Linked DNA regions of Nothobranchius furzeri. The protein of the gene in region 1 purifies or fractionates together with the protein of each later gene. This does not show direct contact. Links are inferred from orthologs where the notes say so. Each region holds a gene or a part of one and is shown on either strand. Other genes may lie near its edges. The genes, in order: haus5 and haus2.

The links.
Region 2: the proteins of haus5 (region 1) and haus2 purify together in Homo sapiens (affinity purification with mass spectrometry; 5 studies listed by BioGRID and IntAct, with this or other methods). This does not show direct contact. The link is inferred for Nothobranchius furzeri from reciprocal best matches to the Homo sapiens genes HAUS5 and HAUS2.

The regions. Positions count from the first base shown.
Region 1 is NC_091748.1:57,502,949-57,518,932, reverse strand, and holds haus5 (HAUS augmin-like complex subunit 5), read left to right. Parts: upstream 1-689; 5' UTR 690-777; intron 778-964; 5' UTR 965-965; coding exon 966-1,063; intron 1,064-1,131; coding exon 1,132-1,194; intron 1,195-1,335; coding exon 1,336-1,368; intron 1,369-1,583; coding exon 1,584-1,608; intron 1,609-1,699; coding exon 1,700-1,832; intron 1,833-2,097; coding exon 2,098-2,257; intron 2,258-2,381; coding exon 2,382-2,478; intron 2,479-2,656; coding exon 2,657-2,748; intron 2,749-2,850; coding exon 2,851-2,905; intron 2,906-2,998; coding exon 2,999-3,126; intron 3,127-3,208; coding exon 3,209-3,290; intron 3,291-3,435; coding exon 3,436-3,590; intron 3,591-4,141; coding exon 4,142-4,304; intron 4,305-4,537; coding exon 4,538-4,618; intron 4,619-4,701; coding exon 4,702-4,847; intron 4,848-5,677; coding exon 5,678-5,774; intron 5,775-6,846; coding exon 6,847-6,985; intron 6,986-7,148; coding exon 7,149-7,281; intron 7,282-7,813; and 3 more. Other genes in the region: paired amphipathic helix protein Sin3b, read left to right, coding at 8,819-8,929, 9,939-10,045, 11,941-12,094, 13,046-13,405, 14,285-14,440, 14,826-14,951.
Region 2 is NC_091758.1:16,489,815-16,507,398, forward strand, and holds haus2 (HAUS augmin-like complex subunit 2), read right to left. Parts: upstream 11,759-17,584; 5' UTR 11,607-11,758; exon of another isoform or gene 11,603-11,606; intron 11,317-11,602; coding exon 11,236-11,316; intron 10,302-11,235; coding exon 10,203-10,301; intron 9,470-10,202; coding exon 9,400-9,469; intron 8,761-9,399; coding exon 8,613-8,760; intron 8,531-8,612; coding exon 8,422-8,530; intron 5,882-8,421; exon of another isoform or gene 5,779-5,881; intron 5,673-5,778; coding exon 5,508-5,672; 3' UTR 5,462-5,507; downstream 1-5,461. Other genes in the region: lrrc57 (leucine-rich repeat-containing protein 57), read left to right, coding at 13,744-13,827, 13,915-14,050, 14,125-14,393, 14,526-14,711, 16,354-16,395.

The DNA.
Region 1 (15,984 bases):
TTTAAAAGTCTATCCAAGAAACCACACAGATATGTATCTGTGCTGTGTGGTCATTACCAAGACAAGAGTCATACTGGACAAAAAAGTGTTAAATAAAATTCTGTTTATAGTAGGCAAGTATTCTGTATTTCAGACTCTTAGTCCAATTCACAGAAGTAGAGAAAACATACAGGAAAGATCAAATGAAATAAAATAAGCACAATATGACACAAAGAATCATGAGAAACAGAAGAGACAATAATAAGAGCAGTGTGAATATAAAGTATAAATTATAGTAACTCCCTAATCTACCAGTGTTTCCACATCTTTGACTGGTAGCGTATTGCACTGACAGATATTGGTTAGATCAAAGATCACAAAACAATCATATATTTAGAATTGTTCAGTCAACAAATATATTTATAAACAAAATTTATTTAAAAAAATTATAAACGTTTGTCTTAAAAAAGAAAACTGAGTAATTTGATAAATAACATTTCTTAAGACAGTTTGTAGGGTGCTCACCCTTGCCTCACTAGAAAAATCATTTTCTACTTTTTGCAGTTATAATCATTATTTTCATGATTAAATTCAAGCTGGAGACGTTATTTATTTTATTTTTTCTAGCTGGAGACGTACGGTTATATAAACTGCTCGTGACGTAGCCTGCCTGTTTCCGTCTTTAATTTCCGTCACCGTCTGTATCCATGGCAACGACCAGAAGCGAACAGAGGCGGTGTCGGCGCTATCACAACGGAAATCACACTGGAAGTACTATTGGCAAGCGGGAACTTGAAAGTACAAAAATTTGAAAATCAGGGATGTTGTTATATGTGTCAGTGGTTATTATTACCTGTTTGATTTTAGCGCGTCGAAGTGGAGATGAACGAGGCAGATTTTTACGACCGTAAATCGTAAAACGAAGTAGAAATCTCAGTAAGCTAGCTGACAACACTAGAGCTAACCTTTAGCTGTTTCTCATCAGAATGGCGGATAGAAACCTTGTGAAAGAACTGAAACGCTGGGCTACGGAGGAGTTTAACCTGCCCCCGGACACCCTACCTAATGACAGCTATTTAAAAACGTGGGTAAAGAAAACATCGGAATAAAAATGTTTTTTCGGGTCTGAAGTAACACCGTTCATTTTCCCAGACTCTGTGTTGGAACTGGGAAGTCCATATGGAAGTACATAATCCAACATGTTTTCCATCAAAGGTCAGTGTTAGTTTTCTTGTTCTGTTATAAGGAACTAACTGTTACTAAAGTTATCAGTGCTTTAAATATCGTTGCGTTGTTTTAAGCTCGTGTGATAAATAAATGTGTTTTAAACGTTTTCAACTTCTTGCATTTTTGCAGAAACGTGAAAATCATGCGAGGTAATCTTCAGTGGTATCCTTTTTGGCTTGAATTTTACTAAAAATAAAATCTTGTTTCATTTTGATTTTTTTTCCAATGTTATCTTACAGAATTAAGTTGTCTTTCATAAACAAGCTCACACCTAACAGTCCTTCACCTTATGATCATGGTTATAATCCACATTACATTTGCTCTCATATAAATGTGTACTTAATTTGTGAAATTGCCTTGACTTTATGATCTCAAAGGTACAAAGTAATACAGGACAAAGAGGTAGGGTAACGCATGTTTATTTCTACATATATGGGTCTGTTATAACCACAGATAATTTTCAGTATGTTGGGTGGTGTGTCTGCATGTCAAGCTGGTTCAGACTAAAGGCCAGAGTGAAGCTGCAAAGCGTAAAGAGCTGCAGATGAAGATTGAGCAGCTGAAATGTGAGATTAGTCACCTGGATTCTCAGATCAGTGGAACAGAAGAACAACTCGCCGCACAAGGTTAGTTCATCTCAAGCTGTGTGCTTGTAAGTTCAGATCTAGTTGTTTCTCAAACACAGAATACATTGATTACTAAAAGGCTAAAATTGTTTTACATTATTTTCTGTTCTGTGACCAAATTGTATGCTAAAATAACTTCACTACACAATTCGTTCCATCTTGAAATCTGATGCAAAAATGTTGTTTGTTGCATTGAAATAATTGAAGCAATTTTTTAAGTTTTTTTTTTCTCATGTCAAATTTGTCAACCATCCCTATTACACAGAACAATCTGTTGGTCAAACCTGGGCCCAGATGGAGGACAGCCAAAGCAGAGAGCTGTTTCTGCAGGCCTTCAGACGGCACTGCACCTTGAACCGTAACCTGCTCTCAGATGATGTGCAAAAAATCAGCAGCCACTGCCAAGTGCTGGAGCAGATGGAGCAGTAAGGCAGAAAAATTCACTTAAACATTAAACTGGCCATGAAAGCAGATATTTTAAGCATCTACTACAAGTTACACAGCAAGTGATTGTATATAAATAATTTAAAGAGTGTGCTTATGTTGTAGGAGTGTAGAAACTGAGGTTCTGTTTGACGATGCTCCATCCAGCAGCAGAGCTGATGACGACTTCAACTCCCAGACTGTAGCAGTGGCACAAGTCCTGGTGAGAGCTGCTGAAGTGGTGGTGAATCTAACCACCCTCTCTTGTTAGAGCTCTTATTAGGCTGCCAACATCAATAAAATTAACTTGCTTGTTTAATTTTTTTCTACAATTTAATAATTTTTCAGTAAAATAGAGTACTGAGAATATTTGCATGAAAAATATTTATATTCTCCAACAGCGTGACTTAAAGGAGCTGAGCGAAGACAGGGTCAATTTCTATCAGTCCTTACAAGAGAGCGAACTGAAAACTCAGCCCTCTGCAACAAAAAAGTAAAGATAGTCTATTTTACACTGTTTAAGACATTTTATTAATTTTAATTTATGCATTCTTAACTTTTCTGTTGTTTTCTACACTGTGTCACCCCCTAACAGCATGACTCATGAGCAGAGGATGGCTGTGTTTCAGTACTGGCTGAGTACCGCTGAGGTTGGTTGATTTTATTGAGATCTTGCTGTGAAAGTCATTGTTTTGGTGTTGGATTTTCATATAAATGTTTAATTCTGTTCCTTGTGACATCAGAAAGTGTTGAGCAATTATCCTCCGAGCCACATTCTGTCAGCGCTGCAACATTTGGCTGCAAGAGAGCAGAGGGAACTACAGGAGAGAGTAACAACTCTGGACGTGACAAAAGATGCTGCAGCACTGCAGTATGTAAAACTCCACATCACTGACATTATCTACATGCATGTTGCTTTTTAATCAGATTTCATGAGCTATTTTTTTTTTCAGATTCCGATATGAAAGCAATCACCTTCTGGATATCTCGGCAGAGGAGGGCAATGAGTTACCACCTGTCAAGACCCTCCTAGAGGTGCTACGCCTTCATTTACCCGTTAAAATATCTGATGTTCACATTAAAAGAAAAATATGCATGTTTTTCTTTATTATATGTGAGTGCTACGCTTTTATTTATGTCAATTTTATATATATATAAATATATATATTTGTTGTTTCAGGCTGTTTGGGATGAGGTACAGCAGAGTTTGGTGGAGCTGTCTCAGACTCGTTCCAGAGTCCTGCAGCTCAAAGATCTATTGCAGGACCGTAAGAAGGAGGCTGAGGAAGAGACGTCTGGGATTTTTAATGATGTCCACAATGAAACCATGGCACTGTAAATTTACAAGCACTGCAGCTGTTTAAAGACCAAGTTCACTGAGAAACTGATTTTTACTTGTATTTTTTTTTATATCTGATCGGTCACTCGTAGTTCAACATGCAGGCTAAATGTGAAAAAAGTCTTCTGCCCCTATTAGTTGCCAAAAGAAAATAGATGGAGAAACGCTCTGATTAGAAAATTCAGTCAGACCTTGGCTCACACACGGTAGGAAAGAGCGGAGGGCATCTCTGCTAGTAGAAGCTATTTGTTAGCATTAGCAACTCCACAACATGACTGAACTTCAGGCTTGCAGAGCAAACGGAGTCAGTGGTAGAGTTGCAATGCTGTTAACCAATCATAGGTAAGATGTCCAAATAACAGGAAATAAGAGTGTAAAGCCTGCTCACCTCTGCTCTCACTCACTTCTAGTTTCTGAAACAGGAGTGCCACAGGTTTTTCCCACAGAGATGGACTTACAAGGCATTCATTTATACTAGAGACCACAGCAAATGTGTTGAAAAAGGAAGGAACTTGAATGAAAAAATGCACACACTATGTGTTAACAGGTCAGCATTTGAGGTGGAACTGCAGTGTGTGATGAAGGCAGCAGCTCGGGATCATATCAGAGATCACTGCATCCAACTCGACCAACATGCCAGAAACCGTCAGGAGGCACTCAGAAATCTTTGCAGCCAGTGGCAAAACATTCAGGATTTCAGAGAACTGGTGGTAAGAAGAAACATGGCTTCTGTTCACTTTTGCTGTTAAAAGCTGTAATCCTGAATAAAAGTGCCTGCACATGGTGGATGCAACATTTTTGCATATTTAATGTTCTTTTAAGAATTTGGATGTCTGGGTATGTATAAAAATAAACATGTTTATTTACTAAACTGTGATTTTGTTGGGCAGAACTGTTTAAAAGTAACAAAGAAAACAAACGTGCTGCACCTGTTTCTCTGCAGGCTCTCAGGCAGGAGCAATTAAGAGGGCTTATTAAAGGGAACTCGTCAACCAAGACACAACTGACATGTCTTCATAAAGAGGTCTGAATATAAAAAGCAGAACAAGCACATTTTTGCTGCATTTCTTGTTTCAATACAGTTTTAATCTATTTGTTTTATTTCAGTTGCAAGAGTTCATTGAGATCAAACTCAAGCCACAGTTTGAAGATGTGATCATAGCTGCCAGCTCGCTACGGAACTCCATTTCTAAGGAGGTCATACAGTTTGGGAACGTTTCACTCCTGTCTCTGGACCGCAGGACTGTGGAAGGGTGAGAACCGGTTTCATGAATCTTGACATCTGAAAGACTATTGCAAGTTTGATAAGTCACCAATAAAGCTTAATAACACGAGTTCTTGATCAAATCGCTCCTGATATCTATTAAAGTTGCTGTCCGGAGTTTTCCCCTTTCAGGAATTATGTAGGATTTTTCAGAAATCCTTAAATTGATTGTCTTATGTACTCTGATATAATATAGGAAATGCGTTTTTTTTTTTTTTTTTGCTAAGCCCGCTCCCTGTCTCGTAGAGCTCAATGCAATATGACCTGAGTGCCATTCAGCACTAACCAATAGCGTTAGATTACTGCTTACGTACAGATGTTAATCACAGAGCGTGCTTGAGCATTTAAGGACCTCGGTTGATGCAGAGTTGGCGATCTTTCTTATGGACAAATAAGTCTTTATAATATAAAAATGAAAAGACAACGTAATAACTGTAAAACGGTGTGTTTTGTCGGCTAGAGGAGCGCGTTCATAAACGAGAGGCGTTACTTTTGGCCGTAGATAAGGAAATGAAACAGGGTTTTGGCGTGATACGCCTGTCAGCCACTAATGGTGCCATCCGATAAATGAAGTAATCCGGAAAGCAACTTTAAATGCATTTTACAAAAATCCTTTATAATCTAAAATTAGAATTACACAATAATGTTGCTCGCTTTTCTTTCACAGGTTTGAGTTTTATTATTATTAAAGCGGTACAGCACAACAGTTATCTGAAAATGTTCACGTTAATTCAGTAGCAGACCTGTAACTGAGTTGCACTTAGTCATTTTTTGTTTTCAAGTGGCAACTTCTGAAAAGAAAAAACATCTTTCTTTCAGAATGCAAAGACTTCCAGTGTCCTCGTTGTCCATTTACCGCTTGCAGTCCTCAAGCTTCAGCAACTTGTGTCAGACCCTGAAATTCCCTCGTTACAAGGTGAGGACTGACATTTAAAATGCTTCTGTTTACTATCAAAATGTAGGGATGGGGAATAAAACAATAAAATGTCACTTTATTGTCTTTATGGCAACGTACATTTTAGAGTACAAACTACTCTTCATGCAACTAGAACAATTAACATGACTAAACATGACATAATGGAAGTATACCCACCTAAAAGGGTTTAAAGTGAATATTTATTTTTTATACCTTAACAAAAATGTTATTTTTTTTGTAACTCTGCTGTTTTGCCAGCAGTTTTCTTGACTTTCTTTAAATGTCCTTTTTAAGGCATGTCGATTTCCCTCAGCAGCACTTGAATGTAAAGCTGTGCTTTAAAGACTGTGTTTACTTATTTGTTAATAAAGTTAGTAGTTTGTTAAATGGTTGCTGGCAGATCGACATTTTTGGTTCACGGTCTGCATCCTTAACCTTTACACAGTGGAAGTTATTTTAGGGAAGTCAGCAGGGCTGATGGTACGGGTAGAGTTTTGTGGCTTGTTTGTCTAAAATGCAGAAGTTAATATAAGTCCATTTTTGTCAAAATTTCTTCTGGGTGAACATTTAACCTTGTTTACATTTCAGAATAAAGGGAGTTTTCATTCAGTGGTGAGGAGGCAGATATGTAATTAATACAACTGTCCTTTCTAGTCTGTAAATTAGGCTGTTTGAAATCATAAATGGTACTTTTCTTTAATGTTGTGTTTGTATGATTCTTTTGTTTAATTTAATTTCTGCCAGATATGTTTGTGTTGATACTAAATCTTTAGAAAGCTTGAAAAAAAATCACAATTTTTATTTGATTTTTGCTTTTATTGTGAAGCCCTAATAAGCAGGTTCCACTGTACTGTGTCTTTGGATTAACCGCTACATCACCCATGGAGATACTCGTGGTTACCTGCAGTCTTGCCACTCCGAATGCTCTTTAAGTCAATCGCTAACTGCAAATGTGCTTTTAACATGCTCAGAGTAATGTTCATGAGGCATAATAGCTGCACAACCTGCAGGCTGACTTTTATAATTCCTTGATAAGTACAGTTTTGATTAATCTCACCCCCTACTCTTTCAGGCACCAGAGGAGTTGTGTTCCCAGTTGCGATCCCAACAGCTTGAAATGTGTTTTCTCCACGAGCTACTGAAACTTTACTCCTTCACGCTGCAGAAAGTACAGAAAGAAGCAGAACAGCTGCATGCGCCTGATCAAAAAGGTATCTGAGGGAAGGTCAAAATAGAAAAAGTTCTTGTTTTCTTTAAAAAAGCACCCAGAAGTGTAAATTTTGCTTGTTTGCACACATGTGGTGTTAAAAATAAATGTGCATGCATAAATGTGTAACGGTTTTAGTAAAAAGTTATTTTCTATCTGATTTCTAGCTCTGCTGTCCAGAGTCACTGAGGAGGATCAGAAGCTTCTGAAGGATTTGCTACCAAGAGCCAGAGGCCTCACCCATCACTGTGCACAGGGCCTTTTTTATGGAGCACAAGTCAAAACTGCCATCTCTGACTGGTGAGAGACAATTCTGACAGGAAAATAGTTGTACTTTATTGTTTTCTTTAGAAATTGCAACAAAGTAAAATGTCAACACTGCAGTTTTGTAATGTTGTGATTTCTTACACATATGGCAATAAAACCCTTCTGATTCTGATTAGATGTGTTCTTTAAAAAATACCTGTTAGACAAATTTGCTATGTTGTAAAGCACATTAAGTAGTGTGCTGCTTACCTAAACCTGATCTGGTAGTGAAAATGAAAGTGGTACGTTATCAGCCAGGCTACATTTCAAAGATAACTGTTAAGTTTGTTTTTTCCTATAACTTCTTCCTGCAGCTACTTTCACATATTAGCTGCAGTATGAGGTGTGCATGAAAGGTATGCATACCACAGCATGACACAAAGGATGAGGTGTTTACACAGAAAAAGTAGTTATACAGGTAAAGCTGTCATTAGCAAGCCTAGTCTATTTTACGTTGATGTTGTTATTCTTAAAATTTTCAGGGTTATTTTGTATTTACTGTTTATGTTTTTGTTTGTTTGTGTAGGTGGGACAAACCAGCCCAGCATGCCCTACCTGATGTCGTTAAAGGAGGGCTGACTTTCCAACAGTGGCTTCAGAGGTGGAGAATAGCTACCAAAGCCTGCTAGTTGACACCTCCACATTTCTACACCTCTTGCTTTAGGAACCTTTAAGAAACAGATTACTATACTGTTAGTTAACTAGTGCACATGTGTAAGCTAATGTGTGTGTGTTGTACTCTTGTTGGAACTCGTTTTATCATGTAAAATGCAGTCATCAATAAATTTTACTCATTTGTTTTTGTCTTAGCTTAATTGCCTCGCTCAGTTACCCGCAATTCATTCGTGTAGAACTATTTACTCCTGCACAGAAAACATGCTGGATGTGGTCACGTGGTGTTACAATAAAGCCGTGCATCGATAGCTCGATCATTTTCTGTACGGTTACAGTTCCGAGGGTTTTAGTTGAACCTACAGTGCGCGTGTGTCATTTAGCGCGGAGCTACATTGTTCTTTGTAGCAGTGAAGGGGGAGTGGAGCAATCTGATTCTTGTGAACTCGGCTCCTCCCACTGCTGCGGCTGCGCACTTCAATTTTTCACTCATTTTTTTTCTTCTTATTTTTCACTCCTACTCTGGCTTCCGGACGCCAAGACAGACCACTGCCGCCGAATTTAAAGAGACAGGCGATAGTTCTTTTAAAAAACGTTAAACGACAACCATTGTGTTCGAGCTTATTTCCCTACCGTTCGTGCTTCCGTCTGCTGAGTTCGCTGGTGATGTTCGGTCGCACTCTCGGCGAGTAGCAGCTTGTCAGTCATCACCCTCCACTCTGCCCGGGGTTCCCTGTTCTTTTCGCCTCTGTGTTGAGACTGTCCAGCCAGGCAAAGTAGGGTTGCTCGCTTGCTGGCAGGCAGGCTGGCTTCCCGACCGAGAGAGCAACGTTTGTCGCCTAGCCAACAACTGGAGGTAACATCGAAGCTTCCCTCGTAAGTTGTGGTAGCGGCTCTCGAGCCCCCTGCCGCCGGGATAATGGCGAAGATTCAGGCGCACAGCGCCGCGAAGCAAATAAACCAAATTCAAGACAAGCCTTACGTTATAACACAAAAGCAAGTGCAGCAGCAGCACTTCCAGAAGCTGAAGGTAAGAGGACAACGGACACGACAAGCGAAAAGTCTCAGTCACAACCATTTTGTTCGTCGGCTCATTTCAACGCATTAGATTTCTCCCCGCTCGAGAGTAGTGAAAGAAACGGCTGGCTAGCGATAGTTGGCTTAACTGGACAAATAAAAGTATTTCACACCTGAATTGTTCGACACTGACATGTAAGGTTAGACGTGGAAGCTGTTTTCCATTAATGAGTGTGCGAGTGACAGTCGAGTGACTCGGTTTGTAGTACTTTTCTTTTTTTTTTCATTTGCGCCATCAATGGTAGCTGCTGTGAGCAAACATAAAACGGCAGACCTCGGTTGTGGGAAGTTCCTCCTTGTTGGATTTTTTTCAGTCAGCTTGAACAAAGTGGGGGACATCAGCCAGGCCAACCAACAACGGCTACTTCAGTTGATTAGCAGCTTCATTTTACGTGTCTTTGTTGTCGCAGTGTGTTTTTAACCTGTCGTTTAGCTTTTGCCGATACGACACATTTGGCCGGGGACCAGCTGCGACTAAACGTATTGTGTAAAAATTGTATGCGGGTGGGTGTTAAGAGTGTTGGGGAGTATTCAGTTGACTGGCTGTGTTGGCTAATGTTAGCTACAACAACCCTCTTCAGATGTAGTCTGTTGGTGACAGTGCTTTGTGTGAACAGTTTTTTTTCCTCTCTCTTCGCTGTCTAAACTAGCTCGTTTGGTTTAGAGAGCTCCAGAGCAATCAACCAAAGCTGCAGAGGTTATTTATATTTAAATCTTTATCGTATGTAATTAAGCGAACACGTGCAGCTTGATCTGCAAATTGTTTTTTGATTAAAAAATATATTATTTACCATGATAGTGGATATTTACATTGTATAATTATAAGAGCCACGTTGTAAGTACTGTGGTGTAAGCAGGGAGCTGTCTCATCCAACGTCCGTCAAATTCATCTTCAACCATCAACAAGATGTAATCTGTTTGAGACTAATTATCCTTTTCTCTCTCTTTTTTTCTGTAATCAGGTTGAAGATGCCTTGTCGTATCTGGATCAAGTCAAAATTCGTTTTGCAAATGACCCAGGAATATACAACAAGTTTCTCGACATCATGAAAGAGTTCAAGTCTCAGAGGTATCTGTGATTATGTCTAAGCAGACTAAACGTTTGTATTAGTCACTCTTGATCAAAGCTGTTCAGAGTTGGACAATGTTCTTGATCTCAAACGTTTTCTTTGTTTTGACTAGAGGTCAACCGATATTGGTTTTTCTAATGCCAATGTCAGTGGCTGATGTGTATTGCAGATTTTTTTGGGCTGCTTTTCATGGCCAATATCCAGACATTTTCCACCTTTTCATGCTAGAATTTCACCATCGATTGATGCACAAAGTTCCTGAATCTGTTTTTGAACTCTTAATTTAACTAATTGTTAAATCTTTGTGTATTGCTCAGTGTTAAAGTCAGACACATAAAGTTAATTTGGAGTGTTTATTATGCAGATGTTATTACTGAATGTAAAAATACATTTAAATTTAATTCTGCAACCACACCGGGCTGCCCAAGGATGAGCCTGACTTTAAATCTGCTTTATTTAGGACAAATATCAGATGATGCCAACGTATAAAAAACAGTAAACGTTAATCTACCCCAAGTTTTGACACAGAAATAATGAACACCACTTTTTTGCTGTTCTTTAATCAACAATTCTTAGAGACAGGAATATTGTGACAAACTGACCACCACTGCAAAAAAAAAAAAAAAAAAAAAAAAACGCTAGTATAGTTTAAAACAAAAAGGTGGGAACAGATTTATAGTACAGTAGTAAAATTAAGTCCGTGAGCTCATTACTTGTCTAATTTTTTCCCTACCTTAACCATATTTCGAAATCACCAGTCTGTGCCTCTGTGTGGTGCTGGGTGGCACACACAACAGCTGTTCATAAATGCTATTTGTTTTCAAATTTGCCAGCTGGCATTTATAAACGTCTGCTAGTTTGGAAAATGATGGTCACAAATGCTGACTGCTGTTTCAGATGTCATTTAAGAAAACATTTAGAAGAAAAAATAAATGAACCACAGTGGCAAAAAGGAAACAATCATATTTTTTACTCCTTTGGTTCTTGGTAAAGGTTCAAAATAGGTCAGAAACTCAAACTAATTATCTGTTATATTATTGACAGACATGCGATATGTCATATAAGCAATTTGGTTCCCAGGAGATGCACAAGTGAAAATGACCCAGAGACATGCTTCTTTACATTACCCAACAATATATACCCAAATATTGGCGCAGTGGTTAGCACTGTTGCCTCGCAGCACGAAGGTCGCAGGTTCAAAACTCAGCTGCGGCCTTTCTGCGTGGAGTTGCGTGTTCTCCCCATGCATGCGTGGGTTTCCTCCGGGTACTCCGGTTTCCCCCACAGATCGCAACATGCCCTATAGGTTATAAATTGTAAGTCGCTTTGGATAAAAGCGTCTGCTAAATTAATAAACATAAACATATATTCCACAAAAGCATCATGATAATGTCTAAAGTCTTGCAACATTTGTACAAACTTCTCACAATCAAGCACTTGTGTCTGGGTCACTTTCATTTTAGAAGATTCTTAGTAGATCACATCGTAGATAAAAGCAGACAAACTTCCTCTTTTAAAAATTTTAATATATTTTTAATTAATTCAGACTGGTGAATCGTTGCTGTAAAACGAATGCTGACGTTGCCTTCACAACTCCCTGTTGTTGTCCTGTGAAAAAGGCAAATACTTTGAGCACACTCTTTGAACCACTTGATTACAGTTGTAGGTACGCCTGACTCGAAAGGAAAACCCTTTTATACAAGAATGACCTAATGACCTTGATAGAAGAATTTACTATATGTCGGTTGTGCAAAAGAGCTTTGAAGTGAGTGTTATTGCTTTGAAACTTAATATTTTAGAGCTTGTGTTCTAGATACCATCCTACTGGGTGGACAAGGTTAATTTTTAGTTATTTATCTGTGCTTTACTTTAAACTGTATATTTTTTTTAATAGCATTGACACACCAGGGGTTATAAACCGTGTGTCTCAACTCTTTCATGGACACCCTGACCTGGTCTTGGGCTTCAATGCCTTCCTGCCACCCGGTTATCGGATAGAGGTCCCAAAGAATGGGATGGCCTTCCTTCAGTCTCCGTTCTCCACACAAGTAAGAAAACCCTTTTCCTCTTCATGCTCCTCTTAGATTCAAAAAAGCGATTTTTTTATTTAATCATTTTCATCAGTCCATCAAAACCAATTCCTATCTTGGTGAGAGCTACTTGGTGTCACAGAACTTTTACATTCTTCAAAAGAACCTCTTGTGTTTGCGCCGCTCCAAATTTGATTCCAGTTGTCCGACTCAGGAAATGAGCTGAATTTTTTTTTTTAACAAAACACAGGAGTGAATTTGCCAGTTATGTGTTTAAAAGATATTCACAACTGAAGTTTAAATGTTTGCTGTATTTATTTTGCACAAACAAATATTTCCAAAGTGTGTTCCACTTAGCCGAATATTGCATTTGTGTGTGTTTCTGTTTGACATGATCTTTTGTCCTCTGCAACTTCAGTAGTATATTCATGACGTATTTTTCTGAGATGAAATATAACAGTGATTTAAAATAAAATGCAGTAATAACAAAAACAAATTACATTGAACCTAAAATTCAACGGATTTTTAAAGTTTGTAGGGAAATCACCATCAGTCTCTGGTTAGATGACCCGAGGCTCCAAAATGAGAAGTAGCTTCTGCTTTAGCAACTCCACCCAGACTGTTTTAATTCATGTTATGATGACGATGATGATGATGATGATGACATATACGTGTTGTTTATTTAGTTGAGCTTATTTGATCATCAGCATGAAAAGAAATGGATCACTTTGAATCTTTCTGGCATTATGGGGAGTTAGCATTTTCTATTTTGAAAAACAACCCCAAACCTGGAGCTAGATCCTTTCACTGGATAGTCTCTTTGCCAAGGATGAACACAATGCTGAGAGGCAGAAGGTTACTTGAGAATTAGTCATTTTCATTAAGGATACATTGTTACAGTTTCCATTGAGAGTGACGGAAATGTTTTTGACAAAACTCTTTTTCTATCTTCTGTGTCCATCTATTCAGGTGTCCCCAGGACAGCAGGGCAAGAGCCTGACTCCTTCAGTTGCAGCAACCTCCAGTACTGCTTCTGTTGTCCATGCTGAAGCTGGACCGGCCCAGACCAGTGAAGTCAAGGCAGCCTCATCAGATTCTATATCTTCAACTCCAACTGGACCTCCAGAACCCCCCAGCAGACTTTCTCTTCCCCTGACGAGCAGAGAGAGCCAGAATCAGGCCACCTCCTCATCCGTTTCTCCACCTGCTTCAGAGACGAGTCCTGTTGAGTTTGACAGTGCCATCAGCTACGTAAACAAGATTAAAAACCGTTTCCTCGACCACCCAGAGATTTATAGGTCTTTCCTCGAAATACTTCATACATACCAGGTACTGAAGAAACGATGTGGCAACATTTGATTTTGTAACTATTTGGGGATTATGTAGTTATTCATTGGCATCTTTTGTAATGGCTAATTTCATCTTAGTGGTTTTTACTGTGGTTCTAGTGTTAGTAAAATATATTGAAGCACTTTTATTCCAGGAAAGAATTGGTTTACTATTGCCTGCTTTGTGTTTTATTTACAATCATTTTTAAACAACATAAGTCATAGCTGGAGTCAAAGTTTGACAACAGTGTGTTAATTTCATTGTTTTGATGTTCTTATCTTATACACAGAGTAGCAAAGTTTTCCTTTTTACCTTATTTTGCCGAACAGAAAAACAATGTAACTAGAAAAAAACCCACCAAGGACATAACAAGGAGTGTTCATGTATTTAGGCTAATATTGTGTATGATTACTCAAACCAATACACTTATTTACCTTTATTAGTGAATAAAACCTGAACTTTACGGGCGATGGTGGCACAGGAGTTAAGTGTTCGCCCCGTAATCGGAAGGTTGCAATCTCTTGCTGTTGAGTCCTTGGGCAAGACACTTAACCCACCTTGCCCGCTTGTGTTCGGAGGGACCGGTGGTGCCTGTGTACGGCAGACTCGCCTCTGTCAGTGTGCCCCAGGGCAGCTGTGGCTACAATGTAGCTCATCACCATCAGGGTGTGAATTGGTGAATGACTGACTGTGTTGTAAAGCACCTTGGGGGGGAGGGTCCCAGGAATCTAGAAGGTGCTATATCAAATACAAGGCAAGGCAGCTTTATTTATACAGCACATTTCAAACACAGAGGCAATTCAATGTGCTTTACAATTAATAAAATACAGGCCATTTACTTTACAAATAAAAACAACCACACCCCTCCTGTGACTTCAGAAAGAGCAGCTTGAGGTGAAGGAGAGTCGAAGCAGTCGAGGCAGCAGTGGGATGACCGAGGATGAGGTCTTTTCCAAAGTTGCCAGTCTCTTCAAGGGACAAGAGGACCTACTTGCTGAGTTTGGACAGTTCCTGCCTGATGCCAAGAGGTCACTGGTAAGTTTAGGACATAAAATAATAAAATTAATAACTTTTGGCATATGTTGAAAAATCAGTTAGTCTATATTGGTGTAAAAGCTTTCATCAAACCTGGTTTTCACATTAAAATTATGTTTAAATACTATGTTGATTACTGTTCTTTCAAATGTTAAAAACAGTCTTCTGTTGGGCTTATTGAATGCAAAGGTTTGTTTATTTTTAGAAAGATTAAGTAAGAGTTTTCTTTTTAATTCATAACAGAACATCAGAAATCCTGACACTCTACTTTCCTGTGTTTGGACCAAATGCCCAAAGAAAATGTGTTTAAAATCGTAACTATTGTCCATGTTTCATTAAGAACACTGTTCTATCTTTGCTGATGTTTATTTTTCCTTTCTTCTAGTTCACAGGGAGTTCGCTGACTGGAGGGAAAGAGCAAGTGAAAAAATCAGAGGACGAGGACATGATTAACAAACAGAACAAAAAAAGGCCCAGGCCAACACTCATGCACATGTCCCCACTGCTAAAGGTACATTTGTACTTTCCTTGTGTCGATACAGTTAAAGTACACAACATTAGATGCTGAGAATAATACATTGTGTTTAGTCATGACTGAAGGCACATTTCTTATTTTTGATGTGGGATTCAGTAGATTGATCAACACCCCTGTAACTTACCTGCTGTAGACAGCAGTCAAACGTGGGACAAGCAGATAGAAGTTCTCCTCAAAAAGTCAAGCCAACAGCTTGTTCTAAAGCCGACTTCTGACTTTTTAAACAACTTAAATCACAAGTCCTCCAGTAAAAATAATGGCTTCAAATGTTGCTGGAAAACCTCCATTAACATTTGAAATCACTCATGTTTACCAACACACTATTATTTTTTCCAGCTTTATGCTGATATCAGGCTGGTTTTCCTCTTTCACATTGTGATTTAGCCACATTTGTAATGAAATACTGGAATCATATACGTGAAAATCAATTATATATAAAAAATGTGTGTGTATATATATATATATATATATATATATATATATATATATAAATATAAAGCTATAGAGATGTGCGTAGGTATATTCATGTGTGTATGTATATGTAGTGGATACGTGTGTATGTCTATATGGATATGTATGGATGAAATATGTGCGAGCATATGGGCATGCAATGCACTTTAATGTATATATGTATATAAATGTGCAAAAATTCTTTTGCTTTTTGAATTTGTATCATTACTACTAATTTTCTCTTTCTTCTTTACAAATTGAACTCAAGTCAGCTAACCAGTCGAGCAATTACTTTGTATAGGCTAATTTATAATTTGTTATTTCATTGTAAAAATGTAATTTTAGTTAAAAAGGGACAGATAACATACGTTTTCTTCTTTCTGTTCCCTTTTCATTTTCTTGGTTTGAGAAACCTCAATTTATTGGTTAGCATTTTTTTTCTATTTTAATAATAAATGGGCTGCATGGTGGTGCAGTTGTTAGCACTGTTGCCTCGCAGCACGAAGGTTGCAGGTTTGAAACTCGGCTGCGGCCTTTCTGCGTGGAGTTGCGTGTTCTC
Region 2 (17,584 bases), on another chromosome or scaffold:
TTGGCCGCTTGAATCCTTGATTTTATTCTTTTGGTTACTACTCAAAGCTTGTGACCATAGGTGAGGGTAGGAACATAGATCGACCGGTTAATCGAGAGCTTTGCCTTCTGGCTCAGCTATCTCCACCACGACAGAGCGGTAAAACGCCCACATCACTGCAGACTCCGCACCAATCCGCCTATCGATCTCACGTTCCAGCTTTCCCTCACTCGTGAACAAGACCCTGAAATACCTAAACTCCTCCACTTGGGGCAGGACCTCATCCCTGACCTGGAGAAGGCATTCTACCCTTTTCCGACTCAAAACCATGGTCTCGGATTTAGAGGAACTGATTCTCTTTCCAGCTGCTTCACACTCTGTTGCGAACCGCTCCAGCAAAAGCCCAAGATCACGCTCTGATGAAGCCAACAGGACCATATCATCTAGCCTGGCAAGCCAGACTAAATAAATGTATTATTTAGTCTGGCCATGCTCCATTGACGGCTCTCGGTTGTGGGGCGGGTTCTACCGTTGTCTTTCAAATGATCTCCGCATTCCACTGGACAAAGAATGTGACATACTCTTGTTTCACTCTGTTGCATCATCCCACCCACCAGGCATATAGAGTGCCCTGATTGGCCCACAAAGCGGATAAAGCTCTGTGATTTGTTCACTAAGCAGATAGAGCACTATGATTGGCCCATCACAGCTCTTTATGTGTTTGAAACCCCTCTAGAGAGCTGTGATTGGCTAGCCAGAGTCCTGGTAGGAGCTGCTGAGGTTCCAATGGAGCATGCCTAGACCATTCTTTGCAAAGCAAGAATTTGGTCTAGTTCACTAGGCTACATATCATCTGCAAAAACCAGAATCAATTCTTAGACCACCAAAACGGATCGCCTGAACAACACCTTGGCTGTGCCTAGAAATCCAGAATAGGTGACAAAGAGCAGCCTTGGCGGAGTCCAACTCTCACCAGAAACAAGCACAACTTACTGCCGGCAATGCGGAAAGCAACTCTGGGCAAATCTCATCCACCCCGGAGCCTTGCCACTGAGAAGTTTTTTGACCACCTCAGTGACCATCATCAGAGATTGGAAAGTCCAACCCAAAGTCCCCAGACCCTGCTTCCTCACTGGAAGACGTGCCGATGGGATTGAGGAGGTCTTCGAAGTACTCCACCACCCACCGATTCACAACATCCCGAGTCGATATCATCAGCACACCATCCCCACTATAAACAGTGTTGGTAGCGCACTAATTTCCCCTCCTTAGGCGCCGGATGATAGACCAGAATCTCCTCAAAGCCGCATGGAAGTCTTGCTCCATGGTCTCACCGAACTCCCCCCACGCCCGGGTTTTTGCCTTGGTGACCAGTGACACACAGGCCACATTCCGCTTGGACTGCCGGTTCAGCTGTGTCTGGAGTCCCACAGGCCAAAAAGATTTTCTTCAGCTTGATGGCATCCCTAATCGCCAGAAGGTTCTGGGATTGCTACCATGACAGGCACCTACGACCCTGCGACCACCACTCCGACAATGGAAGCCTGGCACATGGCCCACTCGAACTCAATATTGTCCCCCGCCTCGCCTCTCCTGTTTTGCTTAAACAGCTTACATCACACAGAAGGGCCTGCAGCAACGATAATACGAAAGAAATTACTAGAGAGTAAGTCAATACCTTTGATATCCAGGTGATTTTTTATTTGTCTCCAGTATTTTACTTTACTATTTTAGACTATTTTATTTTAAGTTTTAAATTATCTTTTAGTACCCTTTGAATACTATCAGATTTTAATTATGATTGCCTCCGTTGTTTTCAGATTACCTGAGTTTACTGAGAACTAAACTCTAATGTGAATACTTTTTTGTTTATAAAGTTCCTCAATTGATTTATTATAATAATTATTACTATTATTCATAAGACTATTATCACTGCTGGTTTCAGAGCTGGTAGATTTTCTTTTTGCTGCTTCCAACTGAATTCTTCCCACCTGTTACGTGTTTAATCACCGTGCTACACCAGTTTGTATAAAGCATTGTGCAAAAAAACAGTCTGGTTGCTTAATGAAACTAGTTATTATTGCAATGAAAACTGCAAACAAACATTGGTAAACAATACACATCTTTACCCAGAACAACACAACGTCAGACGCATCGAAAAGCATGCTGTCGGTTCGTTTTTTCAGACAGCTGCTTCAAACACTTCAGATGTTTACAGCTGCGCTAACATTAGCAGTTAGCTGCAAGCACTAGCAGACATTCAGCCGTTACTCGTGAATTTAGACAGAAATGGTTGAAGCAACACATTTAAATATTCAAGCGGCTAGATGAATAAGGATTGTAAAATACCGCAACGGAGAATCAGACAGATAAATATGAAGTTTGGGAGTCTTACCGAGTGTCAAAGATTAACCAGACTCCACCAGAAAAGCGTCATCTAAAAATCTACTCAACCGGAAACACAGTGCCACGTGATCAGAGCACGTCATGACTTAAAAACTTTATTGAACACACGGAAGGATACAATTTGAGTGATAAATGAAAAAATGCCACCTCTTCAGGTCAAAGCTCTGCAGTCCACTTTCACCTGAAGGACAAGGGACACACCTTTGAAGATGACAAAGTCCACATTCTGGACAGAGAAGATAGATGATTTGAGAGAGGAGTAAAAGAAGCTATCGATGTAAAACATGGAAAACCCCACTTTAAATAGGGGCGGGGCTTAGGTTTCACCTTTCCAGTACGCAGCTTTGGATCTCATTCAATTTCAGTCTAGGTCACACCTTCCTGCATCTAATCAACACGATGACTCACCATCAATAGAGGCTAACGACTCATCAGGAGATGGAGAGGCGGGGTACTCAGAGTAGTTTCTGCTCTTTAAATAACAACGGACAGCTACAGTTTATAAGCTTGGCTCTCCCATATTCCAGTTAGAACTGACAAAGCTCCTCAGAGGAGAAGTGAAACGTTTTAAAGAAACCAAAGAAGTCCAGTTGCCTTTATTTGAACCCTTTGGAGTAATTGTCAATAATAAAAAATACATAATAAAGTAATGAAATGTATATATTTATGCTCACATTCACTTTTACCATCTCTTTGTGGGAGGTGGAAAATTTATCATGTTTAACCCTCTTATGACCATAAATATAACAGTTTATTTTGTTTTATGGCTTTAAAATTGTAACAAAAAGTGTAAAATGTTTGTAACTCTGCTCCTTTTTTCAGAACAACCTCAGCTTTCAGTGTCTGTTTGTATTTAGTGTTTATGTTTATTAAAGTCTGTAAAACTGCAGCTTAAATGAAAAAAAAAACAGAATTGAATTTTCTTTACATTTATTACTAAACAGGAACTTCAAAATGACTTGAGCAAACTATGTCAAAAGAACTACCGGTATTTAAACTCAGAACTGTGTTGCAAACACTCAGAAAAAAGTGTGACCCCTGACCTCACAATTACCAGTTTAATGACTGTCTGTGACCACAGGTCTATACTCTGGTCCAGAGAACGGGATACAGTAACATAAATACTAGGTATCATAAAATAACACTCATGGGCTACTTCACAGCTGTAGCTACATTTCTACCAGCATTATGAAGATCAATAAGCAGATAAAAGGTTAAATCTAAACATTTCATTACAAAAAGTCAACTAATAAAATTCTGCACTGATAACATTATATTTTCAGCTAAATAAATATTTATTGTACGTATAAATAATGCTGGAATGAAGCTGAATCATTTAGTAAACAGTTGAGTGTTCAAATAAAAACCAGTGTGACAGTAATCTGTCCCTCCTCATGTCACCATCTACAGAAACAGCCTTCTGGGACACCTGACCAACCAGGTGGATTTTATTTGCATAACTTTATAAAAGCTGCTGATGAAGATGATCAGACTGTCTCCTCCCTTTGGTTCTCTGCTCTCCCGTCGCGGTTCGCTCCGTTTCTTTCTGTGACGCTGCAAAGCTGGTTTCCTTCTGATAGCGATTTTTGGAGTAACATGAATTACATCATGTACCTCGTTGGAAAGCTCATTTTATGTACTTTTAGAAACCGTTTGAATTATTTTTATTCAATAAGTAATTCAGAACTTTTGACCCGGAGAATCTAGAGTGAGAAATATTAACATCTGTGATTCTTTGTTGTGAGTTTATTCAACACTTCAGAAGTCTCTCATGTCCCATTTTCTGTCCCAGACATGCAGCTACCTGACTCTGCTCCACACACAGAGAAAGGGTCTGGGAACTCTATTCAAATAACCCCACCCTGTGAGAATTGTAACCGAACCAATCAGAGCCGAGTAGCGTTCGTCACACACCATAACGCCGAGTTTGTCGAACATGGCGACTGAAGCGGAGTTTGCTGCGTCTATTTCCTCTGGTCTAAATGACTTGGACACGTCTTTAAAACAAGTAGAAGCGCGAAAAGCCTTGTTTCTAAAGGAAGATGTTTGCGCTGTCGCCAGACTCCATTTTTGATTACAGCGTCATGGACATCACACACACACAGCAACGCTCAGTTTCTCATAAACAACGAAGACAGCGGCGGAGTTCGCGGTGGCTCTTTCCTCTGTTCTAAATGACTCAAATGTCTTTAAAACCACAAGTAGAAGCGCGAAAAGCATTTCTTCTACAAAAAAAAATAAAAGATGTTTACACCGTTGCCAGATGCCTTTTTTTTATTTTTTACTACAGCTAGAAAACTGCATTTTCATCTTTTTTCTGATTGGTCACTTTTGAGCTGCCTAGTCCCGCCCTCAAGTGCCTTTGCTCTCTGCCTGCGAGTTACCGGACTCTTTCTCTGTGCAGAATTAAACAGATGACGAGTTTGGCAGGCCAGGCTACTTACAAAAGGCCTAAAACAATTTTAACACCAAGAACTCCACAGAAGTTATTTCATAAATATGTCCCATTCCTTTACTGTATTCAGGGAAAACATAATCTCAGAATTCTCTGTGAAACAATATGTAACATCTACTTTATGGTTATGTACATTTTTATAAAATATCTCCCATTACATTTGAAATGTCTAAGAGTGGTTTTAAGAAGGCAGAAACACGTTGGAAGAAGACCACAGCTCATCTGTCCAGTCAGAACTAATCTGTTTCCTGTTCTTAGAAACACTAAAAGATCTGAAATGTTCTTCTAGTCAGTTAATACAGGGTTCAAGACTTCCTGTTCCTGAGTGTTTACAACCGTTCAACTGATCCATGTAGATTAATATTTCTGTAAACACTGGATTATAATTCAGGTTGAGCAAAAACAACCTAATAATCTCAAACCAAAAAGCTTGATCAGGTTTCTTCTTCCAGATTATAAAACCTCTAACCTCAGACCCAATTCTGCCCCAGAACCAACCCGATAAAATCTACAGGTATACATGAATGCTGAGAAGAGGATGGTCTGGGTTACCCTCCTGGACCTGGTGCCTTTGAGACAAAATGCTGAAGGCATAACAAAAAATATATATATCAGGAAGCCTCCACATGAACAACACATTTTATTACATTCCTTAAAAAAGTGCAATCTAATATTTGTGCAACTTGGTGACATCACAGCAAGTTGTGTAAAGGGAGCGCTGATGAGCCTCTGACGCCTCCTGCTGGCTGCTACTCTTCCTCTTCTGCAGAATCTGCATAAACGCAGCCTCCACGTCTGCTGCTAAGGTCAACATAAGGGAGTGTGACGTTTCCTGATGCAGAGAGAGATCAATTAAGAAGAGAGGAGATCAAAAACAGCTGTATGCAAATAAGGTTAACTTAAAATACACCAAAACCCCTTAGAATGCTCTAAATTACCTGCAGTGATTAAAGGCATCACAAGCTTTCCTATACAGGTGGCAGTACTGGACTCGGATCAGCATTAGAAAGATTTAGTCAATGACCTCAAACTGGAACTTACCTGGACAGGAACGGATGTAAAACATTAAGTTATCTTTTAATTAAATGAAAACAAGTGATTAAAGCTGCTTCTGCCAGACTAATGGTGACTTTTTGCCTTTAAATGACTTTATTTTTTATTAAAACTTTAACACAGATTGTAAAAAATATAAAGTTTTGAGGATGTCTTTCAGATTTGTGAATAAGTCAATACATTTCCAGTCGTTCTGCAGATAGTTCCAAGCAAAGAGGGGTGCATGAGAAGTGAATACTGGATATTAACAAAAGCTTTCTGCAGGGTTTTAATGGCCCGAGAAAGTTTCTTCTCAAACCGTGCAGACAAAAGGGACAGAGAGCAACAGCTGATCACTAGATCTTCAGGAGTCGGAGTGTGATGAAAATGCACATGTAAGGAGGCAGTAACCCAAGCCTAGCCTTGTAAATAAATACAGGTGAAACTAAATCAACCAGAATATGGTGCAAAAGTTCATTTATGTCAGTAATTTCACTTAAAACATTAAACTAACATATGAGATGGTCTGATATTTGAAGCCTTTAGAGTAGTGACGATTGCGGCTCACAGCTTATGAAAACATTCAAAATCTCAAATAGAAAATTATGAAAATGTTCCAAGTGGCACACTCTAATTGCAGCTGACGAATCAAGAACACAGAGGGTTCCTGAGCCTTTAGATGGTCTCTCAGTCTAAGATTAAACACTGACACAAATATACTTTTGCACCATATTCTAATTATTTAAGTTTCACCTGTACATCGTAGTCCCTGCCTTCCAGAGGCCAATGACAACCATTCCACTCATGAGTACCAACCCCAGTGATGCGTCACGTGTCACCGTTCTCTAGTCAGTGATACACTTTAAAGAAGCATCATAAACTGAGTCCAACATTTGAAGACAAGAGTCTCGGCTCAGGTCAGGACAGAACTGGAAATTCTCCACAGTTCACCGTCCTGTGCTGTTGTAGAGCAGCTGAGACCACCTCAAGGAGTTTTGTTATTATGAAGAACCAGAAAATGATGGAATGTGGCATCAGAGACTTTTGAACTCTCTCCTGCATGTAAAAAAGTGGATTATTTTTACTAGAACTCTGATTATTACCTTAAACCAGCAAAGGAAAGACTGAACTGATGCTTTTAGCTTTGCTGAATTTGCATATATTGATAAATATTGAGCATGTTTTTTTGGAACAAGTTTGCTGATACTGGACTGTCGGTGTGACATAAGAATGGTGATTTGGCGTTCCCTGGTGGTGAAATGTGGAAAGCACATCTAAAAGCAGCCCAGTCATCCCAAACACAAATTTCAGACTTAACTATTAGAATTATGAGCGATGAGGCGATTTTTAATACATTCATAATGTTAACACTTTTCTAATCAATGTGTCTCCTGAAAACATTTTGTTTTTGACTAGAAATATGATGTAATAATGAACATTTACGTTTTTGACACGTTTTATTTAAACACATTAGAGACTAATGTTTAGTGTGTATTTTCATATAATTTTTTCTGCCTGCCTGAATTTTGCAGTTGGTTTAAAGAAACAGGAATGTGATTCAAAAAGACAAATAAAAAAATTTTTTTCAAATAAACTGTCATTTTTTTAATTTATCTGCCCATAGAGCATCATTGTGTAAGGAAGCAAATGGATAAGAAGCATGTTAAAAACTCTCTACTGTCCACTCCTTGTTCCCTCCTCTCCATGATTCATCATGCTGCCTCACTGCCACCTACGACTGACTGGAAATTGTTTGTTGTTGTTATTGTTGTTGTTAGCCTCAAGGGCAACATGCCGATTATAACTTGTAAGCCGCTTTGGAAAAATGTGTCCGCTAAATACATAAACATAAACATATTTATTAAAAAAATCTCATTATTTATATGCACCTTCCCATAACAAGTCATGCAAATCTCAGCTGGCATGCTCTTTTTGGCACACCACTTGTTAATTTGAGCCCTACCAAAAAATAAATTCACCAGCCGCCACCGATTCACATGAAAAAGGACCACGATAATCTGGCACAGAAAAAAAAGTTGCCGTGTCAAGGCTTTTTTTTTACTCCAAAATAAAAACAAAAAAAAAACATCATGGAAGGAAAAGCCTAACTTAAGTTTAAATTTCTTCACAAGTTTTCCTGCGTGTGCTTTAAAAGTGAGGGAGTCATCAGTTCCAAGGTACTTGTATTCATGAACCACCTTTATCAAGAGTGGTCCCTACTGGAGTAACGCTCTTGTTAGAAAAGAATATTAGCTTAGCCTCGTCCCCACTGAGGACTAGTTTTAACTGAAGTGAGTTTTCTGCAGGGTTTCTATGACCTGAGAAAGTGATAGTCCAAAAATGTAAATAACCATCATCAGCATAGAAGTGCATATTAGTATCAGAAACATCTTGAACCCGGACACTGATGTACAAAATAACTAGGATGGGTCTCAATACTGAGCCCTGTGGCACCCCTTTTGAACAGCAACAAATTCAGAACAAAGGCCCTCACATTTAATGTACCTGTTATTCAGGTAATCTGAGAAAAGTCTGCTTATGTAACTGACCAGCAGGGTGAGGCTGTCGGCGGTGGTGGTCTGGATCTGGGCTGACCTCAGCTTCTCCTCCAGACACGCCACGAAGTCCATCATCAGCTCCACGGATCTCACCATAAAACTGTAACCCAAACCAGACAACTTCATGTCAACAACGCCTCAGAGACTGGTCTCAGGTCAAGCTGTTGTGGAACCATTCTGACCTCTGCATGTGGGCCGGGACAGGCAGGTTGGTCCGAGCCAGCGGTCGCATCAGTCTCTGTCTCAGAGTCCTTTGCTCCCTCAGCAGATCAAGGAGATGACAAGCGAACAGCTGCAGCCTCTTGTTCTTCTGATCTGGAATCAGACAAGCTGCTGACCCAAATACAACCGCCCACTCGTTTCTTCATGTTTGATGGAATAACTTTTTTTTAACCAAATGTTTATCAGCAATGAAAGTAAAGGTGGTTATGGATGTTTCTGGTCGTCTCCACAGGGAGGACAGAAACTCATCAGTTGTTTAACTAAAGCGTTGTTGTTGTTGTTATAGATGTCTCAAAGGTTAAATAAAGTCACAAACAGCTTTTCTGACTTCCTTCCTGTTATTTCATTTATCTCTCCACCATACAGACAGAAAATACTATGTGTGTGTGTGTGTCTCACTCAAGGTTTAACAATGCCCCAAGGAGTTTTACCCATCAAGTCACTAGAATAAATCTAAAACAAAATTTGATGCGATCTGCTGTCTTCTTTCACTTTAACATTTAGAATGATTGAATTGACTATTTTTACTTTTGCATTCAGAACTGACTTGTGTTGAGATCGCTGCTAAATAAACCAAACAGATTCTAATTACCTTCAAAAAGAAAAAACAACATAATTTCTTTTCTTCCTTTTCTCCACGTGTAAAGTATGTGCTGCAGCAACGAGTGAATTTCCCTGCGGTGGGATTAATTAAGTCTATTCTGTTCTACTGAGAATGGGAGAAAGCCAGTTGAGGTTTAAACTCACCAAGATGGAAATCATGAGAGACATCAGCGCTCCGTTCTTCCATCTTCAGCAGCTCCAACTCCAGCTGCAACTGAATCAGAACCAACAAAAATGGTCAGGTTTTTACAGGAAACCTTTGATCCTGGACCAGACCTGTCATGAAGCTCTGGGTCTTGACATCCATCCATCCATCCATTTTATGAACCCGCTTGTCCATGTAGGGTCGCGGGGGGGGGGGGGGGGGGCTGCTGGTGCCTATCTCCAGCGGTTAATGGGCAACTAGGTGGGGTACACCCTGGACAGAGAGCCAGTCCATCGCAGGGCAACACAGAGACACACAGGACGAACAATCATGCACACACTCACTCACACCTAAGGACATTTTAGACAGACCAGTTAACCTAACAGTCATGTTTTTGGACTGTGGGAGGAAGCCGGAGTACCCGGAGAGAACCCACGCATGCACAGGGAGAACATGCAAACTCCATGCAGAAAGATCCCAGGCCGGGAAGCGAACCCAGAACCTTCTCGCTGCAAGGCAATAGCTCTAACCACTGCACCACTGCGCAGCACGGGTCTTGACATCAACTAATTCAATAGCTCTTCTCATCCTCCACTGAGCTGCATGACAATTTAAAATGAGCTGAAGTGAAGTTTTATTTCAGAGAAAAGTATCAGATTCCAGGGATAACGGCTGCAGAGATGTGTTCGTTCTGCACGTGGCAGCAGAACTAAAAGCTTTACGGGAGGTAAACCCATCTCCTCCTTACCAAACAGTGTATGCTGTTGTTTCCGACTGTTGAATGACAACATCTGTAGCTCACCTCATCCAGCTGTTTCTGGTTCCTGATCATCTCTTCTGTCTCCTGCAGGCGCGTGGAGAACACAGGGTTTGGGCTGGAGAAGGCAGCGTCGATTTCATCCTGAAAACACATCCACGCATAAAATCATCTCCAGACTGGACCCAGGTCAGTACCTGGGTCGTACCGGTTCAGGACCTGACCAAAATCAGCTTAACTAGTGAAAATATAATAAGATTAACGTGACAAACAACTATTTTCCATATAATGGACAGGTTTTGATTCTTCACTTTGCTGAAAAACAGCAACTGTGATAAAAGCAGATGTTTGGAGTTGATTTGGAGGTCCTAAATGTTTTGTGACCCGACCCACGGTGGAGCAACATGGCAGAGGCCTGACTCTGCTGAGACCGGCAGTCTGTTTATTTTCTGTTTGTGTTTGACCGATTCAGAAACACGTAGATAGGAGCTTTTTGCAGGAAATGACACACGATCTTCATCATATCAAACAAATGTCAGCCCACTACTCAGCTAATTCCCACTGCCAGAAACCCGGCATGTGCACCCCTGGCCCGGTTTACAACGGCTTGATTCTGCACCGCGACAATAAATAGCTGTTGGTCCGATTAGGACTGGATGTGCTGTTGTATGCAAGACAATTAATGCACCAATTAGTAATTTGAAGACATTCACAAGAACGTATTGGTCAGAGACGGTGGTGGGGGCAGGTTGTTTTTGAGTGAGTGTGATCAGAAGGGTCTACAAGTCTGTAAATGTTTTTACCATCTCATCGGCTGAGCCGCCAGCCTCCTCATCTGCAAGATGTGTCATATTTCTTTCTGCAAATCTCAAAGTTTATTTTGTTTTTTAGAAAGGTGTCGATTATCTATCCTTAGATTGGGTCACTAGTGATGATCGAGGCAACAAGGACACAAGTTGAGCCAAATATGAGACAAGAACAGGATGCATGGACCATCTCCCTAAAATGCGTTCAGAACAGCATCTCCTTCAAACCCTCAGGGTGGTGTGACTGGATTAGCTGCCTGTGGAGTCCTGACCTGAGACACAGCTCCTACTGAGACACATCTGGACAGCAAGCTGGCAGCTGGAGTGACGGAGAACAGCGATGGCTCCCACATCTGGAAAATAAAACTGAATAATCAGATTAAACAGACCATCTGTAACCCTGAGTAAGTCCTAAGAGACTTCTGCAGCGGTAAAATGCAGTCTGACGTAGAAAATGCAGAGTAGGTTTCATCTGGTTTAATTTTCTGTCTGAATATTTAGTCGTTTCCGGCGGCCTGCACGTTTTTCAGAATAAATCTAGCTAGCACTGGTATGGGGCTGCAGACCACAACAGTAAACAAAACGCTTGGATTAATGTTTAAACAAACATTAATCCAAATCCGTAACCAAAATTCTGACCTACACTCGTTAGCCGAACAGTCCGTAAACTCCAGATCCTGTTTGTGTTAATCCGTTACTCGTCGATCCTAAACACCATTCCCATTTCACAGTCGATAATTATGAGTTATTTGCGGTTCAGAGCGACTAAAAACCATCAGATACCCGCCAGGATCGTCACTTCCGCTTACTGTTCCGCGTTAGCGCCTCCCAGACTCTTTCTAAGCCTTTGGCGCCTCCTACAGGGCTGGAGGACAGGGACATAATCGGACCTGCTGATGCCAACTTTCATCAAAGGACTTTTGACAAGTTACTTATTTGTTTATATTATATTTTGTTTTGTTATTTTGTTTAGTCGAACTTTTCTTCACACATAAAGTCAGAATTTATTGACTCACAACTAAAGATTCGGATCGGAGGTAAGAACTCAACAAACCGATATAGCATGTCATGCTAACGCCTCTTTCAGAACCCGATGCTGCAGAGCTGTTTGGGTCTGTGACTTCGATTTGGTTGTCGACTGATCAGTGGCCATTAAAATATTTATTTATTCTTCATGAAGTAGTTTGTTTATTTCCGATTTTTCGTTTCCTGGTAAATAACATACTAATGTGAGCTTTTAGCCTTTAGCTTTACGCCCCTAACCATAATCCTGTCCTGTCCTTCAGATCCAGTCATAACTTTGTTTGTCTTTGACTGGAAACGTTTTAAACACGAAACGTCTTTATTAGTCTTCTCCAGGTGAGAAACAACTAAAGCTGGATCATCTGGTCCAACTAAACAGATAAACAACAACCATATTTGTCAAATGATCAAAGGCAAATAGTAAAACTAAAAATAGTAATAGGTCACCCAATAGAATGAATGGCCACTGATGTTGTTCTCTTTATTATTTTTGCAGCATTTGTAAAGATCACACATTTCACTGGTTTGTTGTCTTTTCAAATCATTTACTTTTGTAGCTTGTGTGGTGGGAACACCGATCCTTAGATGGAAATTCGTAACATTTTGTATATTTTATGTAAACATCTGAATCCGGCCAGTGTTTCCTACTCTTTCTCTGTTGAAACTCAGATAGAATCCATAATGAAGCTGCATTAAGATCACAAACCCACCAGCATCAAAAACAACTGAAGTCTGCTGTGTCAGCTCTACATCAGTGGTCTTTAAGGTGGAATCTGATAAACACACCCACTCCCAGATCAGATGATGCTGGTGGAGATGCTGCAGAACGTGGTGGAGTGTTTTTAACAACACAATAACACAAGGATCAGCCTCATTGATCACATCTGAGGTTCTCAACATGATATGCAGCAGCATGTGTTTCTAATGTTGTGCAGCTTTTTTAGAACGCATGCTTGAGTTTTTATTTTGCTGGAGCTTGTTTTATTTACACCTAAACATAAAACTGAAGGTCAGAAGCAACTAAGGACGTTCTGACCCTACATCCTTAAAGACAACACAAGATTAAATTGAGTCCAAAACCCTGTAGGAGGTCAGCTCTTTGGACTAATATCTGAATTAAATCTTTTACACATTTGTTATGAAGGTGTCAGATTGTCAGTTTGTGTCTCGAATCATCATAACCGAAGTTTAATGCACTCTGGGGCTGGTGGAAGTCCATGACTCTTGTTTTGTATGACGTTTGTAATGCTGTTTTGTGTGTGTGATCTAACTGCTGAGCCTGTAGTGTTTCATAAAGTTGATCCATTCCCACACACTGTAAAGAGCAGCTTCATTGACAAACCTTTTTTTTTCTTATTATTTTTTTTAAAATGATTAGGCACTCTGAGTTTAGCATGTACGCTGAACGAGGAAATAGTCTCCTACACCCATCTCTTGCATAGCTTCTGATAGAAAATGGACAGAAAAACACTTCAGAAAAGCCTGACAGATCTCTCTCTCCTCTCTCTCTCTCTCTCTCTCTCTCTCTCTCTCTCTCTCTCTCTCTCTCTCTCTCTCTCTCTCTCTCTCTCATATATATACATGTATACAGAAGGTCTGATAATGTTTGTGGATTGTGTTCTAGCAGGATTTTCTCCAGCTGATCTCATTAACTCCCCTGAGGAAGAAGAGATTGTCAGCTGATTGACTCTCTGGATATGAGCTCCACCCCTCTGGTCTAGACTAGGCTCAGGTGTTCTGGTGGAGGATAGGTCAGGATGGGGAACAGTGTGCTGAAGTCTCACCTGGAAACCTCCCAGAAGACGGGGGTGTTTCAGCTAATGGGTAAAGGTCTCCAGGAGGTGAGAGGAGTTCCGTTGGAGCTTTGATGTTTCTCTCTCATGGTACCAGAACTTGTCTTACTGCTAGGTGTCTCTGTCTGGTTTCAGTTCCCAGAAGAGCTCCAGAGACTCACTGCTAACCTGAGGACCGTAGATCTGTCAGGGAATAAGATCGAAAGTCTTCCTGCATCAATCGGGAACTTCCTGCTGCTCAGGAGTTTGACCCTGAACAACAACAGACTCCGTTAGTCCTGAATCTTGGATCCTGGATGAATGTCTGACTTTGGATGTTTGAAGTGGTGGTTCTTTTGTCCACAGATGAACTTCCTGCTGAGATTGGGAAGCTGAAGAAGCTTGAGACCCTGAGTCTGAATGGGAATCAGATTCAACAGCTGCCCCCCTCTCTTGGCCAGCTCAAAGCCCTGCGGACCCTGTCCCTGGCTGGGAACCAGATCTCCAAGTTCCCCTTAGGACTGGGATCCCTGAGGCAGCTGGACTTGCTGGACCTGTCCCAGAACCAGATTCAGAGTGTCCCTGCAGAGGTTGCTGAGCTGCAGGCCATTGAGATCAACCTGAACCAGAACCAGGTCTCATTGTCCTAAATATTCACTCGTTTCCTCAGAGCTGCTCTTGTAGAACTCAGGCTGGAACCAGGTTCCTAATAAATGGAACCTTCCTCAAACTCAATCAGGTAACCCAGTTCTCTCATCCCTGTACAGATCTCAGTGGTGTCAGCAGAAGTCTCTCACTGTCCCCGTCTAAAGGTTCTGCGTTTGGAGGAAAACTGTCTTGAGTTGTCCTCCATCCCCCAGTCCATCCTGGCCGAATCCCAGGTGTCCCTGTTCTCCGTGGAAGGGAACCTGTTTGAAGTCAAGAAGCTTCGAGACCTGGAGGGATACGACAAGGTTAGACCCCCGTCTGAGATTCTTGCTGGTCTACTGGTCTCTTCTAGTCTTTACTGGTCTCCTCTAGTCTCTACGGGTCTCTTCTAGTTTCTACTGGTCTCTTCTTGTCTCTACTGGTCTCTTCTCATCTCTACTGGTCTCCTCTACTGGTCTCTTCTAGTCTTTAGTGGTCTCCTCTAGTCTCTACTGGTCTCCTCTAGTCTCTACTGGTCTCTTCTAGTTTCTACTGGTCTATACTAGCATCTACTGGTCTCTTCTAGTTTCTACTGGTCTATACTAGCATCTACTGGTCTCTTCTCATCTCTACTGGTCTCTTCTTGTCTCTACTGGTCTCTTCTCATCTCTACTGGTCTCCTCTACTGGTCTCTTCTAGTCTTTAGTGGTCTCCTCTAGTCTCTACTGGTCTCCTCTAGTCTCTACTGGTCTCTTCTAGTTTCTACTGGTCTATACTAGCATCTACTGGTCTCTTCTCATCTCTACTGGTCTCTTCTTGTCTCTACTGGTCTATACTAGCATCTACTGGTCTCTTCTAGTTTCTACTGGTCTATACTAGCATCTACTGGTCTCTTCTCATCTCTACTGGTCTCTTCTAGTTTCTACTGGTCTATACTAGCATCTACTGGTCTCTTCTCATCTCTACTGGTCTCTTCTTGTCTCTACTGGTCTCTTCTCATCTCTACTGGTCTCCTCTACTGGACTCTTCTAGTCTTTAGTGGTCTCCTCTAGTCTCTACTGGTCTCCTCTAGTCTCTACTGGTCTCTTCTAGTTTCTACTGGTCTATACTAGCATCTACTGGTCTCTTCTCATCTCTACTGGTCTCTTCTTGTCTCTACTGGTCTCTTCTCATCTCTACTGGTCTCCTCTACTGGACTCTTCTAGTCTTTAGTGGTCTCCTCTAGTCTCTACTGGTCTCTTCTAGTTTCTACTGGTCTATACTAGCATCTACTGGTCTCTTCTCATCTCTACTGGTCTCTTCTAGTCTCTACTGGTCTCTTCTCATCTCTACTGGTCTCCTCTACTGGTCTCTTCTCGTATCAACTGGTCTATACTAGTATCTACTGGTCTCTTCTCATCTCTACTGGTCTCTTCTAATCTCTACTGGTCTCTTCTCATCTCTACTGGTCTCTTCTCGTATCTACTGGTCTATACTAGTATCTACTGGTCTCTTCTCATCTCTACTGGTCTCTTCTAATCTCTGCTGGTCTCTGCTAGTCTCTACAGGTCTCTACTAGTATCCACTGGTCTCCATTAGTATCTACTGGTCTTGGCTAGTCTCTACTGGTCTCTACTTGTATCCAGTGGTTTCTTCTAGTATCCACTGGTCTCTATTAGTATCTACTCATCTTGGCTGGTCTCTACAGGTCTCTACTAGTATCTACTGGTCTTGGCTAGTCTCTACTGGTCTCTACTTGTATCCACTGGTTTCTACTAGTATCCACTGGTCTCTATTAGTATCTACTGGTCTTGGCTAGTCTCTACTGGTCTCTGCTAGTCTCTACTGGTCTCTTTTGGCCTCTAATCGTCTCTACTTGTCTCTACTACTCTTTACTGGTCTTTACTGGTATCTGCTGGTCTCTAATGGTGTATGATGATCTTTATTGATCTCTCTAATGGTCTTTTATGGTCTCTGTTCTCTCTCCAGTACATGGAGCGCTTCACAGCCACTAAGAAGAAGTTTGCCTGAAGCTCTGATGATGGTAAAACCTGGACCTCCACTAGGTACAGAGTCGTCTCAGCTTTGGCCCAAGCTGCCCCTGCACCCCCCACAGCTGCTTATTCTCCAGGAGCTAAACCAAACCTGAGGAGGTGACGTGGTCCTCAAAAAGACCTAACCCTGCTGCCAGATGGGTCCTAACACACAAACTGCTACAATAGTAGAAGTATTTTATTTTCAGATGTAAAGCTTTAAAGCTTCATTCTTCACGATGGACATCAACTTCTACCACCAGCAGGTAAGGTGGAGGTCATGGACCACCTCCAGATGTTACAGAAGAAACCTGATCCAGAATGAGGATCTCTCAGAGGCCTGCAGCCAGAACATTCTCTTCTTCTGCTTCAGATGATTGTTGTTAACTTAACCCACAACTTGTCCACGATCCAACCCCTAACCAGGAGATTGCTGTAACGGCAGGAGGAGTAAACCGTCAGAGGAGCTGGTCTCAGAGTTCACATTCTCAGTCTATTGTCCTAACATCAAACACATCAGGGTTCCTGTATGAAAGGCCGAGTTCTTCTGGTTCGTGTCGGGACTCGGTTCTGGTGCTTGGGTTTTCACCCTCACAGAGCTGGTGCTGGACCTTGATCCTGACGCGTCTAATCATTAGTTCATCATGCTCACAAATGAAGGAAGGGAACATCTGCGGGTTTGGAGATGTTTCCTTTTTCACAACATTGCTTCTGTTTCAATGTTTTACCTTCTCAGAGCTGCAAGTTGAGTCTGAGGAACCTGACCTCCAGCTTCTGCTTGTCCAGGCTGTTCTTGATCATCATGACCAACCGTGGCATTCTAACTGTAACGCACTGCTGTCAATGATGTCATTGATTTGATCTTTTTAGAATTTAATGTCTTCAGTCGGTTCTGACCCGATTCACCTGGACCTACCTGTGTCTGCTGTCCAGGTGTTTTAACCCTTTTATTGTGAAACATTAAAGCTTCATGCCAGACTGATTGTTCCTGTTCCTGCTAACACACTAAACATGACATTTATTATTCACATAGTTTTATTTTTTTGTAGATTTATTATTTATTAAAACTCCTTTAAAATCTGAAACTGGGATTTGAACCTGAGGAATGGCTGAAGACTTTTTTTCTGGCAATATTAGTAAGATTTCTGCTAACCAGTCTGACTCGTTCTGTGTTTGGAGCTTTAGAT